3 linked regions of the Xenopus tropicalis genome follow. The protein of the gene in region 1 interacts with the protein of each later gene in a pairwise test. Links are inferred from orthologs where the notes say so. Each region holds a gene or a part of one and is shown in the gene's direction. Other genes may lie near its edges.

What was found.
Region 2: the proteins of cep126 (region 1) and yae1 interact in a two-hybrid assay, tested with the Homo sapiens proteins (2 studies listed by BioGRID and IntAct). The link is inferred for Xenopus tropicalis from reciprocal best matches to the Homo sapiens genes CEP126 and YAE1.
Region 3: the proteins of cep126 (region 1) and hmox2 interact in a two-hybrid assay, tested with the Homo sapiens proteins (2 studies listed by BioGRID and IntAct). The link is inferred for Xenopus tropicalis from reciprocal best matches to the Homo sapiens genes CEP126 and HMOX2.

Annotation. Positions count from the first base shown.
Region 1 is NC_030678.2:162,394,817-162,398,468, reverse strand, and holds part of cep126 (centrosomal protein of 126 kDa), read left to right. Parts: intron 1-1,796; coding exon 1,797-1,916; intron 1,917-3,652. UniProt on the Homo sapiens protein: Participates in cytokinesis. Necessary for microtubules and mitotic spindle organization. Involved in primary cilium formation.
Region 2 is NC_030682.2:64,477,003-64,480,754, forward strand, and holds the start of yae1 (protein YAE1 homolog), read left to right. Parts: upstream 1-1,104; 5' UTR 1,105-1,241; coding exon 1,242-1,370; intron 1,371-2,727; coding exon 2,728-2,849; intron 2,850-3,752. UniProt on the Homo sapiens protein: The complex LTO1:YAE1 functions as a target specific adapter that probably recruits apo-ABCE1 to the cytosolic iron-sulfur protein assembly (CIA) complex machinery. May be required for biogenesis of the large ribosomal subunit and initiation of translation.
Region 3 is NC_030685.2:302,069-305,820, forward strand, and holds the start of hmox2 (heme oxygenase 2), read left to right. Parts: upstream 1-1,091; 5' UTR 1,092-1,180; intron 1,181-3,387; 5' UTR 3,388-3,393; coding exon 3,394-3,461; intron 3,462-3,752.

The DNA of each region.
Region 1 (3,652 bases):
CTAATTTGCATATGTAAATTAGGATATGGAAGGGTTAAGGTGCTGCAAAAAATTTTCAACTTCCGTGTTTATATAATAATAAGGATTTGGTTCGGCCGGGAGCATGAATTCAGCCAAACACAAATCCTGCTGAAGAAGGCAGAATCCTGGATTCGGTGCATCCCTAGTTTTTATTATACTTTTTGGTGACCTACGTGATTTCTTGAGTTCCTACCCCTTTTTTGGTATATATGATAATTTTTTATAGTTTCTGGGGGTGACTGACACCAGCAGCCAAAATTTTTTTGCTCCATACCACTACAGTGTTGTTATTATTGTTACTTTTTATCGCTTATTTTTCTATTCAGATCCTCTCCTAGGCATCTTCCAGGGCTCTCATTCAGACCACTACCTGCTTGCTAAGGTAAACGTGATCCTAGCAATCAGATAGCAGTTGACATTCCAAACTGGAGAGTTGCTGATCAAAAAAGCTAAATCGTTCATTTAAAAAATTGCAGATTGTATTAGAATATCACTGTCTGCATTTTACTAAAATTTGAATTGCAGCATTCGAGCGTTGATCTAGCTAAAACTATATTGCAAATATTTCTCATTGTGCGGCTGCCATTACGTCACACTTCAAAGTCAAACCTTTTATTTGTACAGCGTTGAATGATGTGTTGTAGTGCTGCAGAAACTTTGTGTTCTATAATTAAGTCTATAAGTCTGTATAATCTATTAATAAAACTACAAGGCTGCTTTGTTCCTTGACAATTCAGGATACTTTATGATATTAATATGACTGATGTCTACTATGCCCTGTGGGGAGCAGTGAAGTCATGCTTTACGATGTAGCAAGCAATTGTGATTTTCAAATGAGTAAACAGACAAGCAATTGTCAAGGCAGGAAGAACAAACCATTTTATCATATGTATAAGCATGGTGAGATGCTGGTGAAGGAAAAGCTAGCTGATGAGTTTACACATGTACCATTGTAGCTCATCTGTGACATAATTATAGGTTGTTACCTAAAGGAGCAGTTCATTTTCAAATTAACTTTTAGTATGTTATAGAATGGCAAGCAACTTTTCAATTGGTCTTCATTTTTTATTTGTTATAGTTTCTAAATTATTAGCCTTTTTCTTCCAACTTCTTCCAGCTTTCAAATGGGGGTCACTGACCCTAGAACTATTAGTCTGTGAGGCTACTATTTTATTGTTGTTGATATATTTTATTACTTTTCTTTCTGTTCAGGCCCTCTCTTATTCATATTCCAATGTCTCACTCACATCACTGCTTGGTTGCCAGGGTAATTTGGACCCTAGCATCCAGATAGCTGCTAAAATTCCAAACTGGAGAGCTGTTGAACAAATAGAGTAATAATTTAAAAACCACATATAATAAAACATTGCATCAAACTAAAAGTTAATTCAAAGGTGAACAACCCCTTTAATATAAATGAACAATTAATATTTTGGTCCAGGCATCAACGAGCCAATGCGGTCCCTGATCCAATGAAAAATCAAACCTGCCCGATTTTAGGCCAGATATCGCTCGCGCGGGCCCGTCGTTAGTGCCCATACACAGGCTGATAACCTGCCGAATTGGTCTAATGGACCAATATCAGCAGCTAGAATCGGTCCGTGTATGGCCACCTTTAGAGTTGGCCAGTAAGGGTGAGAATTGGGCAGTACGAATGAATATTTTGCTGAAAGCTGATAGTTTCAATTTACCATTATAAACAACAACAAAGTCAAATGTATAAGCATTTACATTTATCAATCAAGACATATCCCTTAACTCAGTCCTGCTTTAAGAAACCAAAAATCACATCTGGAAATAAACTTGGATGAAGAAAGACAGGAGTTGCTGGAAGAACAAAAATTATGTCGAATTCGAGCGCAGAAATTAAGCATAGAGACAAATCGACGAAGAAAGTAAGTCTATACTGGTGTTTCTTAAAGGGATACTGTCATAATTTTTTTGATGTACTTTTTATTTCTAAATTACACTGTTAACATAGCAAATAATTCCCTCTACCATTTAATTTTTTTTCCTTAAACCAACAAATGGATTTTTTTAGCTGTAATATTGGTGTGTAGGCACCATCTCAGTGCATTGTGCCTGAGTCTGAGCTTTCAGAAGGAGCCAGCGCTACTCATTAGAACTGCTTTCAGCTAACCTATTGTTTCTCCTATGTAACTGGAAGAGTCCCAAGCCGGACTTGGATTTCTTACTATTGAGTGCTATTCTTATACCTACTGGGAGCTGCTATCTTGCTGCCGTTCCAATTGTTCTGCTGATCGGCTGCTGGGGGGGGAGGGGATCACTCCAATTTGCAGCGTAGAAGTAAAGTGTGACTGAAGTTTATCAGGGTGCAGGTCACATTGGTGTGGCACCCTGGGAAATGAAGAATATGGCTAGCCCCATGTGAAATTTCAAAATTAAATATAAAACAATGTGTTTTTGAAAAACAGACTTCAGTGCAGGATTCTGCTGGAGAAGCTCTATTAACTGATGGGTTTTGGGAAAAAACAAGTTTTCTCATAACAGTATTCCTTTAAACTTATTCTCAGGAAGCCTAGAAATTCTGCATTTGCATTTATATACCATATTTTGATTCCATTTTTGTTACTGTTAGTGGAAACTTTACCTAACAGATTGGTGACCCATATGTAATAGTGAAGTTAAAGAGGGAAGTGTTTTGCCTATGGCACATTAGGGTTAGGTCTTAGCTGGACAAATTCCTAGTAATTAATGGCCTGTGAAAAACAGAATGGTCTTGAATAGGCTAAGGAGCAGATACAACAAAAGGGGCAGGAACTCTGGGAGGGGTCTTCAGGGTCTCTGTGCAGCAGTATTTAATATGTTAATGGCACCCTACCTGTCTCTGTTTAGGTTTCCTTATTTAAGTTTGAAGTAATTGTATTTGCTTTTCAAACTGTTTCTGTTCAGCTGTCAAGTGGGCAAATGTTGAGAAATAAATGTGTAGTGTTATTCCTGTTATAGAGCCTACTTTTGCAGCTATAAATGTGTTCCTAAAGGCTGCCATATACCTGCCTATATCTGATCAGCTGGGTGATAGACTGATACTAAATGAGTGGCTATACTCCGTATGGGCACCTTTCTGTTGGTCTGTTTGTTTGCTCTAACAGCCTAAATGATGGAACAGTATAAAGTGAAAAGGACCTACAATCGATGAAGCAACCAATATATATTGTAACACCAAAAATGAAGTATATGTTGAAGGGCAGGTTTGATTTCCCCTTCAAGTTGAGGACCTTGTCGTCTTGTTGATGGGGTCTTTGACCCAAATCTCATTTGTTGAGATCCAGTCGTTTTGCACTCGGGCCAAGCAATTGAATCGGCCTAATATTGCCCACCTTAGGTTGACAAAGTGGTGAAAGATCCCCTCGTTTAGCCCATAATATAGCCGACTTTAACCTGCTTGCAGATTCAGTTTCATATGAGAGCCATTGTTCTTTTCTTTCTTTCATAATTCTTATTGCCTTCCAGTGCTGTCACTTGGGTATTAGCCCAATTGTGGCAGATATAAACCAGTAGATACAAACCAAATACAAACCAGTAATGGCTGAAAGTTTGCAGAGGAAAAAACAAACCTTGCCCAGCTTTGATTACAGCCTTGATAGAGAATGAAGCAATCTATGCGAAT
Region 2 (3,752 bases), on another chromosome or scaffold:
AGAGCTGCGTGTGTCTGGCACAGGAAAACAAAGAGACAACAAATCCTGTATCTTTTAACAGAGAACTCAGTGCAGCGTTTCTGTGAGTGCTTATGGCTGTATTTACATAGACCTTTCTGATAAAGCTTACTTAGTTTTTACCTTTCCTTCTCCTTTAATGCTAATGTTATTAATAGGGAAAATAGCTAAAAATATAGGAAGGCCAGCATCTTTTTCGAGAAAAGGTGGCAACCCTAGTGCATACCTCCCAACTGTCCCGATTTTCGCGGGACAGTCTCTCTTTTGGCAGCTCAGCCTGCAGTCCCAGATTCTTACTGAAAAGTCCCTCATTTCCCTTTGATCTTCTGCACTGAAGCTAATTTAATTAAAAGTAGCTTTTGGCAGAGACCCCACTTAGATACATTGCACTTAGATACATTGTTTCTCACATTTAATGAAATAAGTGGGCTTTTGGCAAAGAACCCAGAAAGGTAAAGAGCCCCCCCCTGCACTGAGATACAAGTGTAACTAATAAGCTAAACAGACCTCTTGGGGGAACTGAGACTTGCAACTTAAAGGACAATTTCATCTTTTCAGCAAAACTATAACACATAAAACAAAACCCCCAGAAATGTAAACAAACTATAACCTGCCAAATGGGAGTGGTATTTAGGGGGTGTGGTCGCAAAAAAACGGGCGTGGTCACAAAGTAGCTGTGCTCTGCATTTTTTTTTGTCCCGCTTTCCATTTTCAAAATGTTGGAAGGTATGCTAGTGTAAGTCTGAGCTGGGGCGGGGAGTTTTGCCATAATCTTGAGCTCATTATTGTGTTCAGCACGCAAAAGACTTTACATATAATCATAAAAGCACGAAACAACATGCTGTTAGTTATGTACATAACATTTGAACCATATAAAGTTCGCCACACATTATTTCACCCCATGTCAAGCACTAATATTACACAAGATGGCGCTGACGCACCATTAGGAAATAGAGAAATACGCTTTCCGTTGCTTTTTTTTTTTACTACACCCAAACAACCATCTTGGCTTATAAGCAATGGACATGCCTTCAGAAAATGGCGCATAAAATAGCGATCCCTATTGGTGAGGATGCGGCTGCAAATAATTTCCACTTCCGGGGTGAAGTTAGACTGATATTTTCGTCATGGGCGAGGGGCGTATTTAGCTTTTCTGCGTTAGAGCAGGGATTCTCCTCCAGTTTATGCCATGCTAGAGCTAGATACCGGCCCCTGATAGTGAAATGGCGTGGGTACGCACCGCTTTGGAAATCCAGCAGCTTGGAGGGGAGGCAGAGGTGTTTGATGAAGATGGAGACGAGATGCGCCTTTTGCAGCGAGATTGGCAGCTGTCCATGGAGAAGAGAATTAAGGTATTCGGGAGATAGTTAGACTAACATAGCGAGTTTGGGGGCCCCTTTCTAGGCATTGCCCTATTTTACTGGTAAGTGATTTCATGTGCTCCTGGTTACCTACCCCAAGGCATACATTGAGAAGCAGGTTTTCTGGGAATTACAAGGAGGTTGGTAAAAGCGGGGCTCTGTTTTACCTCAGGGCACTGCTGTGTTATGGAGCACTCGCATCGGGGTTTCAATGTTTGTCGCAGGAATTCGGCATTTCTTCTAAACACACACATGTTCTTTCTGTGTGGCCCAAATAGCTAGTCAGTAGTAGTTCAATATAGCACACTTTATTAATTATAATCAAGAGTAATGTGCTAATAAAGTTAGTCCGTTCATTGAAGGTCAGTGGAGTTTGCCCTAATTCAAGACTAACCTACCTCATTTCTCTGCCTTGTCATTGCTTTATACACAACTTTCTTACCTGCACCCAAGCTGTGATTCGGGGAAAGTAGAATAATCACTCCCATTTCAGAACTTTATCAGTCGTTACACAAGTAACTCATTATGAAGTTACTGGTTGACCAGGTTACACTAATTCGGGGATCTTTTTGTGAGCCACAGTCAAATGTAAAAAGACTTGGAGAGCAACACAAGCATCATAAAAGTTCATGAAGGTGCCAAATAAGGGCTGTAATTGGCTATTAGGCAGCCTCTATGCACACTATCAGCTTACAGGAGACTTTATTTGGTAGTAAATCTTGTTTTTACTCAACCAAAACTTGCCCCCAAGTCAGGAATTCAAAAATCACTACCTGGTTTGAGGCCTTGGGGAGCAACGTGTTGCTCACAAGGCACTTGTTGGGGATCACTGCACTAATTAGTCCCATGTCCTACCCACCTACACATTAACCCTTTCACTGCAAGCAGATTTGGTCACAACAGAACGTTTATTGCCAGACAGTTTTTGAACATTTTGCGCTCTTTCACTTTAGAGGCCTTTTCTCAGGGTGGACTTTTAGCTTACCCAGGAAAACAATATATTTTTTTCAGGGCAATCTAAGCTTTCACAATATGCTAGAATTTTTGTGTAATGCCACTTCTATAACAATATAGGCTTCTAAATATCTATATTTAAGTGTATGTGCTTGGCAGATAGAGCCTTTTACTGCCAGCACATACAGCCTACGTGCTTGGCAGTGAAAGGGTTAAAATGGCAGGGAAAAAAATGTACCGTATCCACCAGTATATTGTCTGTTGGATATGTAGGATGCAGTAGGCATGGAGTTTTAAGTTTAAATTAATTTTAGGTTACAGATGAAAACTATTTTAACTGCTTTAATTTTGTGGAATGCTTGTTTAGTTTGAATTTCTATTCTTGTATTCGTAGGAGGGCTACGTTGATGGAATAGAGGCTGGGAAAGAAAATTCTCTACAAACAGGGTTTAATTTTGGATATAAAGTTGGAGTGAACCTGCTAAAGCATTACGGAGAGCTTAAAGGGATCTTAAGGTAAGTTGTATTGTATTTTATCTTCACTTCTCCAGTTATTTCCGACAGCTTTTCAGTCACGGGAATTACAAATGTTTAATGTGTCAAAATGCTCAGGGTGCTTTTATAAGCAGTATTAATTTTTCAGTTTTAGAGCTATTTAAGTTTTTATTAACTGCCAAAATAATAAAGTTTGTAACATCACTGCCTTCTGGTTATTTCCTGCAGTTGTACAGTCAAAGAGAGCTACCTTTTTAATAAAAAAAAAAAACAAATATTGTGCTGTTGCTTTGCTTAGGAAGGAGATGGGAAAAGGCAATTGGGGCTTCTGATCGCTTTCCTGTTTCTGTTCTGAATGTAAGGTTTGTATGTCTTTGACTGTACAATTTCAAGAACTGAGGTAGCAATATTACAAAATTCATTATATTGGCAGTTAATAAAGACTTAAATAGCGCTGAAAGATTTAACATTACATATTTTTAAGAATTGTATATATTTTTGGCAGTTCAGAAGTTTCTACACTTTTGTTATATAAGCACAAAACTGAATTATCTCATGTGAAAAAAGGGGGGCTTTTTCCCCTTTAAAGGGTTTCTTGTCACGGCTACTAAACACCAGAAAATCCCCTGCCATAGAAAATAGAGAATTGCCTCTGCTAAAACACATGTAGAGACAGTTATCAGTAAATGATCAGCATTGTCTGTTTTAGTAGCTGCAACAAGTAGCCGCTACTAGTAGCTCCGTGTGTCTTCACCCTTACAGGAAGAGCAACATTTTTTTTTTTTCTCTAATTTTGATAATTGACAGCCATGTGACTTGTGCTTCGATAAACTTCAGTCACTCTTTTAATTAAGTATTTTGCAACCTACTGCTAGCTCTTCACAAATTTGTAAAATATTTTAAATCTTAAATTGTCAATGTTGA
Region 3 (3,752 bases), on another chromosome or scaffold:
GAGGTTAGCCCTGGGGTAAGGGGAGGAGCTGGGGATTGTGGGAGGGTTAGACCTGGGGTAAGGGGAGGAGCTGGGGATTGTGGGAGGGTTAGCCCTGGGGTAAGGGGAGGAGCTGGGGATTGGTGGGAGGGTTAGTCCTGGGGTAAGGGGAGGCGCTGGCGATTGTGGGAGGGTTAGACCTGGGGTAAGGGGAGGAAGCTGGGGATTGTGGGAGGGTTAGCCCTGGGGTAAGGGGAGGAGCTGGGGATTGTGGGAGGGTTAGACCTGGGGTAAGGGGAGGAGCTGGGGATTGTGGGAGGGTTAGCCCTGGGGTAAGGGGAGGCGCTGGGGATTGTGGGAGGGTTAGACCTGGGGTAAGGGGAGGAGCTGGGGATTGTGGGAGGGTTAGCCCTGGGGTAAGGGGAGGAGCTGGGGATTGTGGGAGGGTTAGCCCTGGGGTAAGGGGAGGCGCTGGGGATTGTGGGAGGGTTAGCCCTGGGGTAAGGGGAGGAGCTGGGGATTGTGGGAGGGTTAGCCCTGGGGTGAGGGGAGGAGCTGGGGATTGTGGGAGGGTTAGCCCTGGGGTAAGGGGAGGAGCTGGGGATTGTGGGAGGGTTAGACCTGGGGTAAGGGGAGGAGCTGGGGATTGTGGGAGGGTTAGCCCTGGGGTAAGGGGAGGAGCTGGGGATTGTGGAGGGTTAGACCTGGGGTAAGGGGAGGAGCTGGGGATTGTGGGAGGGTTAGACCTGGGGTAAGGGGAGGAGCTGGGGATTGTGGGAGGGTTAGCCCTGGGGTAAGGGGAGGAGCTGGGGATTGTGGGAGGGTTAGCCCTGGGGTAAGGGGAGGCGCTGGGGATTGTGGGAGGGTTAGCCCTGGGGTAAGGGGAGGCGCTGGGGATTGTGGGAGGGTTAGCCCTGGGGTAAGGGGAGGAGCTGGGGATTGTGGGAGGGTTAGACCTGGGGTAAGGGGAGGCGCTGGGGATTGTGGGAGGGTTAGCCCTGGGGTAAGGGGAGGAGCTGGGGATTGTGGGAGGGTTAGACCTGGGGTAAGGGGAGGAGCTGGGGATTGTGGGTATAAGGTTCCGGGCTTGTTCCGGCTGGGCGTTGCTATGGGGACGGGTACTTCCGGCGAGTGACCTACAGAGTTGCGGAGGTTCCGGTAGAGAGGAGGATTGCGGAAGAGGGGAATACCGGGAGTATCGGTGAGTTGGGGGAGAGGGAGGGGTCACTGTTACGCTGCTGCCCCGGGGGCTCTCCGGCTTGTTTGTAGTTGATGGCAGAAAGGAAGGGGAATCTACCGACCTACCCACCTACCGACCGACCCACCTACCGACCTACCTACGTACCGACCTACCTACGTACTTACCTACCTACCGACTTACCTACCGACTTACCTACCTACCGACTTACCTACCGACTTACCTACCGACCTACCTACCGACTTACCGACCTACCTACCGACTTACCTACCTACCGACCTACTGACTTACCTACCGACTTACCGACCTACCTACCTACGTACCTACCTACCGACTTACCTACCGACCGACCTACTGACTTACCTACCGACTTACCGACCTACCTACCGACTTACCTACCTACCGACTTACCTACCTACCGACTTACCTACCGACACATATGGGGGGGGGGGGCAGTAATAATATTCCTATGAGGAGGTGGGAAAGGCTGGAGCTACAGCCAATGTCTGGCCCAATATACTGCCAGGGGTTCGGGTCCAACTGGCACAATGCTGTAGCCCGGCCATTACCCTGCCCATATGCCCAGTAGCGGTGCCATTACCCTGCCCGTATGCCCAGTAGCCCGGCCATTACCCTGCCCATATGCCCAGTAGCCCTGCCATTACCCTGCCCGTATGCCCAGTAGCGGTGCCATTACCCTGCCCGTATGCCCAGTAGCCCGGCCATTACCCTGCCCATATGCCCAGTAGCCCGGCCATTACCCTGCCCATATGCCCAGTAGCCGGGCCATTACCCTGCCCATATGCCCAGTAGCGCTGCCATTACCCTGCCCATATGCCCAGTAGCCCGGCCATTACCCTGCCCATATGCCCAGTAGCCCGGCCATTACCCTGCCCATATGCCCAGTAGCCGGGCCATTACCCTGCCCGTATGCCCAGTAGCCGGGCCATTACCCTGCCCGTATGCCCAGTAGCCCGGCCATTACCCTGCCCGTATGCCCAGTAGCCGGGCCATTACCCTGCCCATATGCCCAGTAGCCCTGCCATTACCCTGCCCATATGCCCAGTAGCCCGGCCATTACCCTGCCCATATGCCCAGTAGCGCTGCCATTACCCTGCCCATATGCCCAGTAGCCCGGCCATTACCCTGCCCGTATGCCCAGTAGCCCGGCCATTACCCTGCCCGTATGCCCAGTAGCGCTGCCATTACCCTGCCCGTATGCCCAGTAGCGCTGCCATTACCCTGCCCGTATGCCCAGTAGCCGGGCCATTACCCTGCCCATATGCCCAGTAGCACTGCCATTACCCTGCCCATATGCCCAGTAGCCGGGCCATTACCCTGCCCGTATGCCCAGTAGCCCGGCCATTACCCTGCCCATATGCCCAGTAGCGCTGCCATTACCCTGCCCATATGCCCAGTAGCCCGGCCATTACCCTGCCCGTATGCCCAGTAGCCCGGCCATTACCCTGCCCGTATGCCCAGTAGCCCGGCCATTACCCTGCCCGTATGCCCAGTAGCCCGGCCATTACCCTGCCCGTATGCCCAGTAGCCGGGCCATTACCCTACCCGTATGCCCAGTAGCCGGGCCATTACCCTGCCCGTATGCCCAGTAGCGCTGCCATTACCCTGCCCATATGCCCAGTAGCGCGGCCATTACCCTGCCCGTATGCCCAGTAGCCCGGCCATTACCCTGCCCGTATGCCCAGTAGCGCTGCCATTACCCTGCCCGTATGCCCAGTAGCCCGGCCATTACCCTGCCCGTATGCCCAGTAGCCCGGCCATTACCCCTGCCCGTATGCCCAGTAGCCGGGCCATTACCCTGCCCCGTATGCCCAGTAGCCGGGCCATTACCCTGCCCGTATGCCCAGTAGCCGGGCCATTACCCTGCCCGTATGCCCAGTAGCCGGGCCATTACCCTGCCCGTATGCCCAGTAGCCGGGCCATTACCCTGCCCGTATGCCCAGTAGCCGGGCCATTACCCTGCCCGTATGCCCAGTAGCCGGGCCATTACCCTGCCCGTATGCCCAGTAGCCGGGCCATTACCCTGCCCGTATGCCCAGTAGCCGGGCCATTACCCTGCCCATATGCCCAGTAGCCCGGCCATTACCCTGCCCATATGCCCAGTAGCCCGGCCATTACCCTGCCCCTTCCCTTCCAGGGAGCCATGTCTGTGAGTGGGTGCATAGAATAATGTGTCCCTTCCCTTCCAGGGAGCCATGTCTGTGGGCACAGGGGACAGTGCAGATGCCGGACTGTATGGCGCAGAGGAAGAGGATGTGTGTAGGTAAGTGTCCCCCAGTCCCCTGCGCTGCTACAGTGTGAGCACCTGATTGGCTCATTCACCATTAACCCTATGTTTCCATTTGCTGCCTGTGCAGGTGCATGTATTGTGCTGTGCTGGTTAGGGAAGGGTTAACCTGGGCTTAGGTTCCTTTTCCCAAAGGCGAGCCCTCCCCATGGTTATTGGGCAGAGGGTCTCAAACTGTGGGCGGAGCCAGTCTCACTAACACCATCCTTAATAGAGGAACCGCCGGTACCAACCAGAACTCCCCCCTTTGTTCTTAGTGATGGTTTG